Linked DNA regions of Caenorhabditis elegans. The protein of the gene in region 1 purifies or fractionates together with the protein of each later gene. This does not show direct contact. Each region holds a gene or a part of one and is shown in the gene's direction. Other genes may lie near its edges.

Region 1 (9,228 bases):
CAGTCAAAAGAAGATAGCAAGGTACCTGAGAAGAGCCCAGAAGTACTTCCTGGAGACGCGGAAAAGTGTGAAGAATCGGAAGAAGTAACCACAAAAGCGTCTTCCGATGCAAAAGAAGGAGTGATCGCAGTAGATGCAGTGGCTGCTGAACCGGATATCGTTCAAGAAAATGCGACTAGCACAGATGATGCAAATAATGAAGACCAGGAGAAAGCTTCACAGGTCGTTGCCAGCTCTGTAATCTCTGAAGAAGTGTTGAAAGAAGAATCAACCGGAGACTGTGTAAAAACTTCGAAAGATCATATGGATTCAGAAACTGCTGGTAATTGTTCCGATTCTGTGATCAACGATGAGCCGGTGGAGGCTGAAGACCCCGACAATGTGAAAGTTGAACGGAAAGAAGAGGACGAGTCAATTGACGGAGTATCATGCGATAACGAGAAAATCCCACTGAAACCCTTAGCACAATGTGGCAAGAACTGTTTGTACGGCTTCTACCCGGACGATAAGTGGGCTCTTTTGAATGAGCCAGTAATCAATGAAATTTATCGGCTACGCGAAAAACACGGCTACTCGAACAAGGTAATTTATTTTTTTAGAAATGCCGTTAAATAATTCCAATAACTGAGTTTATTTTCCAGATGTAATCTTCGTGCAATACTTGTAACATATCACAAATGCATTCATCATCGTGATGAGTTCAACAGTTTTATTCAAAAATTTTGAAAATGCTCAAGTGACGAACTTTTTTTCTTTTTTTTTTTGTTAAGATTATTTCATTTCCCTTTAAAATTTTCTCTATAGAGCTATAGTATCGTTGTTCGTGTTTTCTAATAAACGCTTTAAAGTTTTGTTCTATAGGTTTTTATTGTTATCCAATATTGGTTTTAACCAGAAATATGCACTACATGTTATGACACTTTTCATATTAGTATTACTTTTTATTGTTTAACACGTTAACTTTACCGAGGTTTTGCAGCCCTACCCGTGTCCTATTTTATGCTGATATTCATCTTCCAGATGGGCAACAAAAAAAATAAATCAAGTGGGTCCCGAAAGAATCATTCTCAGCATTATTCTCAGCCAACAATGACCGTAGAGGAGTGCTTGAAGGAGTACGAGAACACAGGAAATTTCGCCAAGTTCTACCCGAATTACATTTTCCAACGGTTGCCAAAAGAGTTCCTCCAAAAATACTTAGCCTCTAAAAGTTCGTTTTACAAGAAAAGTTGACAAGTTTAACAACCTTCGCAATTTCAGAAAATAAAAATATTTCTAAAAATCCATCACTAAGTTGTTCAAACTCTACATTGGACAATATGAAAGAGACGTCGAAAAGTATCTATGTGGACGTGGATCCAGATGATCCTCTCTCCGATGAAGCATTCACTGCTCAACATCCTGTGGAAGAATGGTTTCGACTTCCTCTCGAATGGCGCATTGAGATCGAAAGGCAGCGTTTTGTGAAAAAAGGTATTTTATTCATGGCTAGAAAATTAATCCTACAAAAAACCGCTTAAAACTCGATTTTTGAGTAAAGAAAGAATTTAACAATTTTTCATATGGATAATTTATTAAATATCGAAAAAAAGCATTTCTCTTATTTTCTTTCAGAACGCGCCGACCGTGCTGCTGAAGCTGCCAGGAACTCCGCTGAACTTCTAAAGCCAGACGCTTAAAAGTGCATCAACGATTCGTTTTAACGTTGTAAAATGTTATTTTCGATGTTTTCTTTTCATCCAGTTATTCGTATTAATTTGCCATTCATCAGCTGAAATTCATCCCAACAACCTGCCGAAAGAATTTTATTTTCTGTTCTATCTTTCAAATTTCCTTTTCTTTTCTTCATTTTCTGTTGGCAGCTGCTCGTATTTCCATCACCGGTTCCCGTGAATTTGCAGTTTTAATGAAAGTTTTATTCTTGTTTTAAATATTATGATTTTATTTTCTCACAAGGTTGAAGAGCCAAAACATTTATTTATGTTGTAGAATTTAAATACTAATTTTATTGATTCCGCCGTTGCTCATCGTTAAATATTGAATACTGAAACCAAAACTTCCCTTCCTGACACTACTTGCCCTTCTTTAACACTAATAATGGTTTTCTGTTCATTCATGTATTTCCCTCTTAACTTTTTATCATTGGCAAGAGGAAGAGAAAATCATTAATGTGAAAACCTCTGCCACACTTGTTTATATTTTGTGCGCCAGTTTGAACAACATGTCTTTTTGTCGTTTTGTCGGCAAAATTTAATTTAATAATTTCCTACAGATATTTTCGATAATGCAACCAACTGCAATACGTTTAGAAGATTACGACAAATCGAAGCTTCGCCTTCCGTTTGAGTCTCCATATTTTCCAGCGTATTTTCGTCTTCTCAAGTAAGAAAATTATACATTTCCCCCCTTGCACTCGATCAAATAATTAAATATTATTTTAGATGGAAATTCCTTGATGTATGCGTGGAGAGTACACGAAACAACGATATCGGATATTTCAAACTATTTGAATCGCTGTTCCCGCCAGGAAAATTGGAAGAAATTGCCAGAATGATCATTGACGAGCCAACTCCAGTTTCTCATGACCCGGACATGATTAAAATCAGAAATGCCGAGTAAGACGACAGAGAAATCATGTATTAGAAAAACGTTCCAACGAAAACAATTTCTTCGGTGTTATCTATATCTGTGACGGCAAGGATGTCGAAACGGAGTTTTGAAAACATAAAATTGTTTTAATGACTTAAATTTTTATAAAAAGTTTAAATATCGTGAGTTTTCGAGTCACAGAAGCTTAAAAGGTCAAAAAAAAGTATTATGGTGTCTGGAATTTTCGTGCCATATTTTTTTTAAATACCAATTTTTCAGTCTCGACGTTAAAATCAGAAAACAGGCAGAAACATACGTTACATTGCGTCACGCACATCAGCAGAAAGTTCAAAGGGTAAAAACACTTTTGAAAAACATTTAATAAAATAATTTTTATTTCAGAGAAGATTCTCGGAATGTTTTTTGAACACTGTTTTGTTCGATGAGAAGGGACTCAGAATTGCTGACGAAGTGATGTTTAACTGTAAGTAATCGTGAAATTTCAAACGTTTTGAACTGTAAAATTCAGACGATAAAGAACTTTATGGATACTCACACTGGGAAGATCTTCCTGATGGCTGGTTAACTGCTGAGACTTTCAAAAATAAATTCTACGATGAAGAGGAAGTTACCAATAATCCATTTGGATATCAGAAGCTTGATAGAGTGGCTGGAGCTGCACGTGGAATGATTATTATGAAGCATCTGAAATCGAATCCACGTTGTGTTAGTGAAACTACAATTCTCGCTTTTGAAGTATTTAACAAAGGTAATCATCAACTATCAACTGATTTGGTCGAAGATTTGCTAACCGAAGGACCAGCGTTCGAGCTGAAAATCGAGAATGGAGAAGAGAAAAAATATGCTGTGAAGAAATGGAGTCTTCATAAGACTCTCACCATGTTTCTCGCAATCATCGGATTCAAATCGAATGACAAAAAAGAGAAAAATGAACACGAAGAGTGGTATTACGGATTTATTGATGCAATGAAGAATGATCCAGCTAATCGAGCGGCTCTCTACTTTTTGGATAAGAACTGGCCAGAAGAGCTTGGTAAGTTTTTTTTTGTTTGGAAATTAAATAGCGGCAAACATTTTGTACTTCAGATTTCAAAATACTGAAATTATTTTAATACAATTTTAAATAATGCCTAACTTTTTATTATTCGGCCATCTCATGCTATTTGATGTATTTTACGAATTTCGATTTACAATCTAGGCTTAACTAAATCAATTTTCAGAAGAACGAGAGAAAGAACGTGACCGTATCCGCCTTACCCTACTGAAAAGTCAGCGGACTAACGAGGAAGCTGTCGGCGAGGATGTTTGCACGACAATACGTCCACAACCGAAAGACAGCGGCTACAGTAAGATTATATTTCCAACATTTAGTGCAAATTTTCCTTTTTCCAGATCCAGATGCGGTGGTTACTGAACTTGTATTGCGTACTTATCAAGAAGAACTTGTCCAACCGGCTCTCGAAGGAAAGAATTGTGTTATTGTTGCTCCGACTGGTTCTGGTAAAACAGAAGTGGCAATTTATGCGGCTCTCAAACATATTGAAGAACGAACATCCCAAGGAAAGCCTTCCAGAGTATGTTTTTTTTTTAATTTTCTCGTCAAGTTCTAATATTATTTCCCCTTGATATAGAAGCAATAAAATTTTATTTTCCAGGTTGTGCTCCTTGTGCCGAAAATCCCGCTTGTCGGTCAACAAAAAGACAGATTCCTGAAGTATTGTAACGGAATGTACGAAGTTAATGGTTTTCATGGATCCGAGAGCAGTGTCAGTGGAACAGGACGTCGTGATGAAGTAATTGCTACTCATGTATCAGTTATGACTCCTCAAATTCTGATGTGAGTTAATGGAATCAGGTTCATTAAATTCTGAATCGAAAATTTCTGATATAACTCATTAATTTTTTATTTTACTTTTTTTTTTCAAAAAAAATTATAAATTATAAAAAGAGTGCAATTTTAATCAAGATATATAAAATGTTTAATTTTTTCGGATCGAGCTCTGGTTTTTATAATACCCGAACTAATTATTTCAGCAACATGCTTCAATCGGTACGTCAAAATGAGCGTTTGTATGTGAGTGATTTCTCAATGATGATCTTCGATGAAGTACATAAAGCTGCAAAAAATCATCCATATGTGTTGATTAATCAAATGGTTCAAGAATGGAAGTATGAAAAACCACAAATCATTGGTCTGACAGCTTCATTGAGTGTCAAAGTTGATGGACAAAAAGACGAGAATCAGATGCTTAATGATATTTATAATATGCTCGCATTGATCAACGCTCCACATTTGAGTACAATCACTCGCCAATCGAGCATAGATGAGCTCAATGAGCATGTTGGAAAACCAGATGATTGTAAGTTTGTTCTCAAGTTGGAAATTTAGTTTTTTTTTTCTTAAAAACCATAAATAAATTTTAAAATACAAATAAGATAAATTTCTAGGTGTATCAAATTATAAAAATATTTATTTTCAAGTTTACACAGTTCAAAAAAATTTGAAAATTGTAAATTGTTCTTGTAAAATGAAAAATGGTTTCTAAATGAAGTGTTGTAAACAGGAATTGAAAAAAAAAACCTTCGGAAGCTGAAAACCCACTTTAGAATCAAAACCACGGTATTGAAATTTCCTTTGTTTTCCCTTATTTCTCATGGTATTGTTTAACTTCAAGCTAATCCGGCAATTTCAAAGTAAATTCCTCATTTACTCTATTCCAAAAATAACCAATTACTTGTTTTCTCTTCGGAATATGAAATTTCATGAGAGAATTATTTCAAAAAAATTCTTCTCAGCTGTCGAACTATGCTTGCCTGCCAAAGAAAATATCCTTCGAGATTACATCGAACGATACCTTAACCACGCCCATGGCAAATTTCTCGAAGAATTAGCAAGCATGTCTAAATCAACTGGCCGCAACAACACTATCCCACCGAATATGATTAACACGTTTAAAAAGAATCAACCGAAGAATTATGAGTACTACGATTCATTACTTCAAGGTATTATTCAAGAGTTGAACAAATTGAATGTTCCTGAGAAATGGAATTCTCAAACTTGGGCGAAATACATGAAGGTTTGATTCATTTTCAAAGATTCTTGTAAATGAAATGATTTAGGTATATCTCGAAGCTCGCGGAATCGTTGATCTGATGCCTGCGATGGTTGCATTCAAATACATGGAAAAAGCTATTGGGAAATTGAATGAAAGTCATTCAGAGACAGTCGAATACAGCACCTTCATCAAAGACCATGATACTTTGAAACAAACAATTCAATCCGTTGAACCAGAAATTGTTCTACGTCTCAAGAATACACTCACCAATCAGTTCCACGTGGCTCCTGAATCTCGAGTTATTATTTTCGTAACACAAAGAAGCACCGCTCAACGTGTCAGTGATTTCTTGAACGAATCTAAAGTTTTAGATCAATTTGGTAATTATGGTGAACAAATGGTTGGATATGTTCTCGGAACAAACAAACAGGGCGCTGTACAGCAGACTTCACAAGAACAACAATTGACACTTGATAAATTCAACAATGGAAGACTTAAAGTAATTGTGGCAACGTCAGTTGTTGAAGAAGGTCTCGATGTTACTGCATGTAATCTTATTATCAAGTACAACTGTTCATCAGGATCAGCCATTCAACTTGTTCAACAAAGAGGTCGTGCACGTGCCAAAAACTCTCGTTCTGTGCTTTTATCAGTGAAGAGTAGTATCAATGAAACCGAGACTAACGCGTTAATCTCTGAAAAGTATATGAGACTTTGTGTGAAGAAGATCACAGAGAATGGCGAGAAACAATTGGCTGCAGAAGTGAAACGAGTCGCTGAACTAAATGCGGCTGAAAGGAAACGAAATCTGGAAGAGCAACTCAATTTGAGATTACGACATGAGAATAAGATTTATAAATTGATGTGCAGCAATTGTTCAAAAGAGTTCTGCAAGAGTATTTATATCAAAAAAGTGTTCTCGAATTACATGGTGTTCGATCCAAGTGTATGGAGATTTTTGCATGTTGAATCGGTACGTTTGATGAATGCTCAAAAACCGGAGCCGGCTTGTCGAAAATATAATTTTAATGAATTTTGTAAGATTATACTCGTAGACCAGGGCTGTAAAACCATTTTCCCAAAAAACCGAAACCTAAAATTTCTCAAAAAAAAAGACAATTAAAAAAATTTCTGTCACTAAAAAATCGTTTTAAAGTAAAAAAATCGCTTTATTCATCTGAAATTAACTTATTCAGGTTGAAACATTTATAAAGTGCTTAAAAATTACCTGGAAGTGTCGAATTGCCGATTATCAAATTGCTGAATTTCCGAACTTTGCTTTCCGACAATTGACTTTCAGGCTATTTTTGTGCAATTTCCAGATGTTTCAAGTAAATGTTTTTTTCAGCTAAGCCGACTTCTGTTTATCATAGAAACGCAATTTGTGATTGTGAAAAATTGAATTTTTTCAGAAGCGAAAGGTGAGTAAGTACTTGAGTGAGGACAATCAACCACTCAGTGATATCAAATGCTTCCATTGCAAGTTGGATGTTGGAAGAGCTTACAAAATAAGGTAATTGAAATTTAATTTATTTAAAAGTCGTTTCTTATAAAACAACATTTCTACAGAGGAACCTATTTGCCGCAACTCAGTGTCAAGGCGTTGACATTTGTTCAAGAATCAGACTATTCCTCGATGACAAAAGCAAAATGGTCGGATGTGGAACAGGATCTGTTTTATATTTCAGAAGCAATCGAGGATGACTTTGTAAGATTTTGGTCACTTGATTATTTAAAAATTGTACGAATTTACAGAGAATCATGTTGAATGCGCTCTCCGATACTGAAGAAAATATCGAAAAGAAGATTGTTCTTGATTTGGACTCACGACAACACAATAAGCAACTCGAGATGAAGAGATTGTAAGTGTGCTCTGGATTGTGATTCCTTTTCTGTTTAACACTTTCGAAGCTCAAAAAATACGGATAAACTCTCTATTATCATAATAATGCTTTCATTTTCAGCCATATTCAACAAGAACCACCAACGAAGGGAGTTGCACCAGAAGCTCAATGATCATCTCAAGGATTTCCAACTTGTACGAGAATTCAATTTTTCTTAATCTTTTTTGTTATTTTAATATCATTCATCGTGTTCTATTTACCGAGCAATTTTCATTCGATCTCTTGAATAATATAAAGCTCTATTTAGTTTTATTTTTTTAATTGATCTTTCAATTTTTCTTCCAACAATTTGACTGTAAATTAACAAATGACAAAAAATGGAATGATTTATTAATTTAAATCAATTTCTAGAACATCTATTCCTAATCATCTTGTCCTTTAAGATTGTAAACCGTAATTGCCTCTTCTAGCAGCTTAACACAAGCAGTATGATTAAAATGTTTAGCATCATCCAATGGAGTTCTATCATATCTATCACATGGATTCGGATCCTCTTGCCATTTACTCAATACGTATTCCAATGTGACAACGTCTCCTTCAGCAGCAGCCACGTGTAAAACTGTTCGATCATCATAATCTTTGCAATGAATATCATGTCCCATCAAAAGGAATCGTTTAATTGCAGCAATATCACCCAATTTTGTAGCATACATGAAACGATTCTGACCGTCATGATCATCTTTCAATTGACGACGAGGATCGATTTTCTTATTATCCGAGTAGATCTGAATTGGGATTATTATGGTTTAAGTAGAAAATGCTAATTTTTAACCAAATATATTATTCGGGATGCAGAGAAAAGTTCGTTTGGTAATCTACGTGGAAAGGCGATCCACGGACAATTGAAAACATTCCGCCCCCGAGCAATGGGTCTCGTTAGGAATTTGGCGGAATAAAAAAATAAAAATTCTACAACAAATTAAAAAATTTGACAAAATCGGCAAAACTAAATAAATGTTGCATACGGTTTTGCCGCCAAATACCTAACGAGACCCATGGTTCGGGGGCGGAGCATTTTCATTTTGCCATGGAGCGCGTTTCCAGGTCGATTTCTAAAGGAGATTCTCTCTGCGCCCCCACCATAAGATATTTCGAAAGAAAACTCAAATAAATTAACTTTAGAATTTTCTATTTTGAGATAACTTACCAGACTATCATAATTATGGAAGTTATACTTTTGTACGAGCTGTTCTGCAAACTTGACACCTCGAACCGTGTTTCCAAGTTTATCAAGTCGTGGACTGTACAAGGCAATACCCATCACATTCGGAATCACAATAATCATATCTCCAGATACTCCTGATTTGGCTGGAAGACCTACGTGGAAAGCGAACTGCCCCGACCAATCGTACATTCCACAAGAGTACATCAATGAGAGAGTATCACGGCAAGCACTGAAGAACATGATAGTTTAATGAAACAAAAAAGTAGATCTTCCAGCAATAAACTAAAGTTTCAATACTTGTAAATTTATCAATAAGTTAAAGTAGAAACTAGATCTTTCAAGCAGGCACAAAATCGCCTGCTTACCTACAAGGCAGGCCTAATCTGCCACGGCTGTGCCTAGAAGGGAAGATGGTCTCAAACGCAAAAAATGCAGACCTCATGTCTACCGTGTACCTACAGGCATTTGTACCTTCCTTAAACCTGCCTAACTT
Region 2 (4,567 bases), on another chromosome or scaffold:
CGAGCTTTAAATCTGAGCAGGGCACAACATAATCAGAATTTGTTTTGAGTTGGAAAGGAAGGTTTAAATTCAACATTTCCAACAAACAGGATAATTGAAAACTTGAAAATCTGAAACTCTTTTGTTTTGGAACTTGATTATAAATTTTAATTTTCATAACATGACTAAATGGGACATACTGAATTTATCAGATGGTTCCAGTAATATCTGTTTATAATATTTCACTAACGATAATTTTTTTTGACATATATTTTTCTGGTATAAATTATAATTTTCCTACTAATTGTTTCAACTACTTGTGAAATCTATTTGTATAGTTTTTTTTCAAGTTTTGTTAAAATGAAATAATTAATCGGGCGTATTTTAAGATAGGATGAAACAGAGCAAATATTGATTTTCACACAATCTTCAAAGTTTTGACATACGCAGTGATTTTTGATTTTAGGATTTGCAGCTATTTTTGAAATCAATAATTTTGATGTCATTGAATAACAGACAAAAATTGTGTTTCGAACTATACTCTCATTGGAGACAATTCAGAAACGATTCAGAAAAAAAAACCTTCCATCAGAATTAGTGTGACAAGAGGTTCTTACTCATATCCTAAATTAACAAGGATAACTTTTTTGATTCCTCAACTTTCAAACTTTTTCATCTGATTTTCTATTGAGTGTTCTGTCTACCAGTGCTCTTATCTGAAAACAGCTTTTAAGATAATGCGTCAGCTGGCAGAAACGCTTTTAATTTTGCTTCCTGTTTGTTAACTTATTTTTGAAACGTTTTACTTCGAAAAGAGTTAATTTTTTGGTTTGTTTGTAAATTTGAAAAAATCATTTAATGTTTATTATGAGCGTATTACAAATGTTCGTAAAAGTTATTATTATTATCACTCCACAATTTCCGTTTGTAAAATGAATAATTGAATTTTTTTTTCCAATATACATCAAACAAAATTGTGAAAAAATTGCTTTAACGAAATTGAAGCATAAACAATAGTTCTAATTCCAATTACAACAATTTGTGTAAATCAAATGTTTCCTCTGAAAACTTCAAACAGTAAACCATTAATGTTTTGAAAAGTACGATGATGGTCTGGAAAACGCGCTTTGAAAATTTGTTACAACACGTTAGAATCACAAGTTCAGATTAGCTGTCGCCTCTAAAAATCAATTGTTGAACAATGTCTTCTTCAATTTTTTGATAATCAGCAAGCACAACTACTAGAAACAAAATATACAATTTTAAAGTTGGCAAAGAAACATTGGATACAATTTTCCAGTCGCTTGGCATTTTTGTTGAACATAATTTCAATTTTTCGAAAAATTTATGTTTTGTAATGTTTTATTTTGATTTCCATACTTATGAAGTAGTAAAGATTTCTACTGGGCTCATGAGATACAAAACAATCTGAACATTCAATTTTTTATCTTCGGAAAAGTTCTTGCTAGAAAAACAATAAAAACCACTTATAAACATTCCTTTCAATTGTTCTCTTTTTACGAACTTGTTAATTTGTCTTCAGCCATTAGAAACAATATTCGATGTTACATGTTTTCATTCAACATTCAAAGTTATATTCTTTCTAATTCCTATTTTGTGTTAATGGGCCACCCTCAGTGCAACTCTGATCATTCATCTCCCAAAAATCCCTAGATTCCCTGCTCTCCACCCTCGCTTTTCTGCGCGCAGCAAAAAGCCTACCACCTTAACTTTTACCTGCTTTTGAGAGAGATGTACTTGAGAAAATATTCGAAGCCAAACAGTTGGCTTTTCCAAAAATTCTCTCCCCCATGCGTTGCCGCAACTCTGTAGATATTTGCGTTTGTCGTTTCTTCACAAACAGATATTGCGTATATCTTCCCGGCCGTGTGAGGGTGATCAGAAAGTCTGAGATCCCCAAAGAGAGCACAGACACGGCGCACGGATCACGGGCACTGCTCTTTCTAGCGCTCTTTGTGTCGAGCTTCTGCTTGGGACACATTATCTCTGCTGGCAAAACTGATCGCTGCCCGCTGTGTTACACTCTATCTCAAACGGCATCCCGGGAATCTGCCACCCTCCACCAATTGCCTACTAACTTTGCCCGCCGTGGAGAGAGCACCTCCTCTCGGTCTCTTTTCGTATCACATTCCTCCCATCCAGCTACTCCTCCTTCCCATACGCCTACCAACCAACCATTATTATCTCAATGCTCTCGACAAGATCGGGACTTGGAAAAGGCTTCTTCTTCATACTTTTCATGGGTGCATTTTTAATTTTAATTTGTTCGTTTCCCAAGCAATTTACTTCTATCATTGTTTCGACAATTTTGTGTGCTACCTGTAAACAAATAACTGAGTTTCAGGTAGAGAACCTTTTCCAACATGTCCAAGGCCGCCAAGAAGAAGTCCTCAAAGAAGCGCTCGGGATCCGAGGCCGCCCAATTCGACCAGAAGACCATCCAGGAGTTCAAGGAGGCCTTCGGAATCATGGATCAGAACAAGGACGGAATCATCGACAAGGTTAGCTTTTTTTAAGTTTTAAAATGATACTAATGAACAATTTTTAGTCTGACCTCAAGGATCTCTACGCATCCATGGGACAAATCGCCCCAGACAGCCAGATCGACGCCATGATCAAGGAGGCATCCGGACCAATCAACTTCACCGTCTTCCTCACCCTTTTCGGGGAGAGATTGACAGGTAGGCTTTTCAGATTTTCTAATGGAATTCAATTCATTATTGCAATAATTTCAGGAACTGACCCAGAGGCCACCATTGTTGGAGCTTTTGCTATGTTCGATAAGAAGGACTGCGGAAAGATCAAGGAGGACGACCTTATCAAGATCCTTCAAAACAAGAGAGGAGAGCCATTAGACGAGGATGAGGTCAAGGCTATGTACAAGGTAAATTCATTCTTTCTGAAATCATTGAAACTTACCAATTCCTCTTCTTTCAGGGAAAGCCACCAATCGAGGGAGGAGAGGTTGACTACAAGGCATTCGCTCACCTCATCACCACCGGAGCCCAAGACGAGCTCGCCAGCGCCTAAACATCCGGCAATTGCACACAAATCTTACATTCTTTCAAATAATACTTTCTCATTTATTTCTCCAATTATAATCTTTCAATGGATTAGTGCAATAAATGGTGGTGATAAAATTAGTTGATACCAATGACTTCTAATGTTATTTTATAAAAAGGCTAATAGGTATTGGGGAAAAAAGTGATGAATAGTTTGAAAAAGAAATGCGAGAGGTGGAAAAGGCAACAAATCTGTACTGGGTGTCTATCACAATTGGAACAAATCTTAATGAGAAAATATGTTTCAATAAGGTTCATTACAGAGTTACCAGATGTCTGATAACCCGAGCTACGTTGAATTTTAAAAGTAAAATAGTTAGAAGATTACTTTTGATTCAATAACTGCATTGAAATTTACATTTGATTAAGATATCCCACGGTAAATAATTGATGATCATCACAATAATAACAATAGAATTTACAAGGTCTCGAATCATTCCATCATGTCCTCTTGAGGTGGATCAGGCACTGGAGATGGATGTGTCCCACTGCTACTTGGTCCTTCCACAAATGACATCACAGCGAGTTGCCGATGGAATGGATCCATTGGTTGCGCGGAGACTTCCATCGCGGCTTCTGCTTCAGTAAGTGGCCGCACTCGAATGATAACCCAGATTGATTCTGAAAATGTGGAAACATTAAAATTATGAGGTTTCTGAAGTAGCTGAATAATATTTAAGTCTTTGAAGAAATTCGATTAGTTTCAAAAAAATTATCTTTGCTGATTTGTACAAGCCGTTTTGAACCTGAGTTTATATTTACGTTTTAAGGTTTATTTTAAATTTATTTTCTATATTTCACTGATTTTCTTCATTTTTGTGGTTTTTTAATCGGAAAATAAAAGAAATATACAAGAAAAATGCAAATAGTTCATGAAAAAATCACTGAAATTGCCTAAAACTCTGAAATTATGTGATACGACGACAACGAGCCTGAAATTAGTATATTTTACAGTTTTAGGCAATTTCAGTGATTTTTTCATGAACTATTTGCATTTTTCTTGTATATTTCTTTCATTTTCCGATTAAAAAACCCCAAAAATGAAGAAAATCAGTGAAATAATGAAAATTAATAAAAAAAGATAATGAAAATAATGCAATCGTGCTCCAACGAACGAGTTCAATTGGCGGAAATTCAAATAGAAATTAGGGGAAAACTGACATTTTTTCAATTTTCAAAAAATCATATAAAATCAGGGAAATTTTTTTAAATTTTTTTATCATGATATTCGGCCATTGTGGTACCATAGGCATGTTTTGAAGCGATTTCCCCACAGGGTGTAGTCCACCTTTAAAGCTCTAATTATTAAATACTTCTACTCCAAAAATTAACGAGAAAGGAAGAAAAGAGCCAGTAGAGAAAATGTTTGAAATTACTCATTTTCAGAATCTCATATCTCTGCAAACTGTTCAAAATTTTAGAAAGTTGCTGAAAATCCGGCATTGTTTATAAATGTTCAAAAAAGAAAAAAAATAAGTTTTCTTCGTTTGTTTTTGAATGTTTTG

The links.
Region 2: the proteins of drh-3 (region 1) and mlc-2 purify together in Caenorhabditis elegans (affinity purification with mass spectrometry, with the first as the bait; one study listed by BioGRID). This does not show direct contact.

The regions. Positions count from the first base shown.
Region 1 is NC_003279.8:7,818,559-7,827,786, forward strand, and holds drh-3 (Helicase ATP-binding domain-containing protein), read left to right. Parts: upstream 1-2,272; 5' UTR 2,273-2,284; coding exon 2,285-2,382; intron 2,383-2,441; coding exon 2,442-2,615; intron 2,616-2,868; coding exon 2,869-2,944; intron 2,945-2,991; coding exon 2,992-3,073; intron 3,074-3,118; coding exon 3,119-3,643; intron 3,644-3,830; coding exon 3,831-3,956; intron 3,957-4,002; coding exon 4,003-4,184; intron 4,185-4,265; coding exon 4,266-4,447; intron 4,448-4,644; coding exon 4,645-4,970; intron 4,971-5,406; coding exon 5,407-5,687; intron 5,688-5,730; coding exon 5,731-6,639; intron 6,640-7,078; coding exon 7,079-7,179; intron 7,180-7,235; coding exon 7,236-7,374; intron 7,375-7,421; coding exon 7,422-7,528; intron 7,529-7,630; coding exon 7,631-7,682; 3' UTR 7,683-7,820; downstream 7,821-9,228. Other genes in the region: D2005.4 (TPR_REGION domain-containing protein), read left to right, coding at 1-582, 642-647; D2005.7 (NAM-associated domain-containing protein), read left to right, coding at 1,021-1,210, 1,261-1,473, 1,615-1,679; glna-3 (Putative glutaminase 3), read right to left, coding at 7,933-8,295, 8,718-8,964.
Region 2 is NC_003284.9:17,454,364-17,458,930, reverse strand, and holds mlc-2 (Myosin regulatory light chain 2), read left to right. Parts: upstream 1-2,344; 5' UTR 2,345-2,363; coding exon 2,364-2,501; intron 2,502-2,548; coding exon 2,549-2,681; intron 2,682-2,735; coding exon 2,736-2,884; intron 2,885-2,937; coding exon 2,938-3,030; 3' UTR 3,031-3,139; downstream 3,140-4,567. Other genes in the region: C36E6.2 (Nbr1 FW domain-containing protein), read right to left, coding at 3,496-3,683.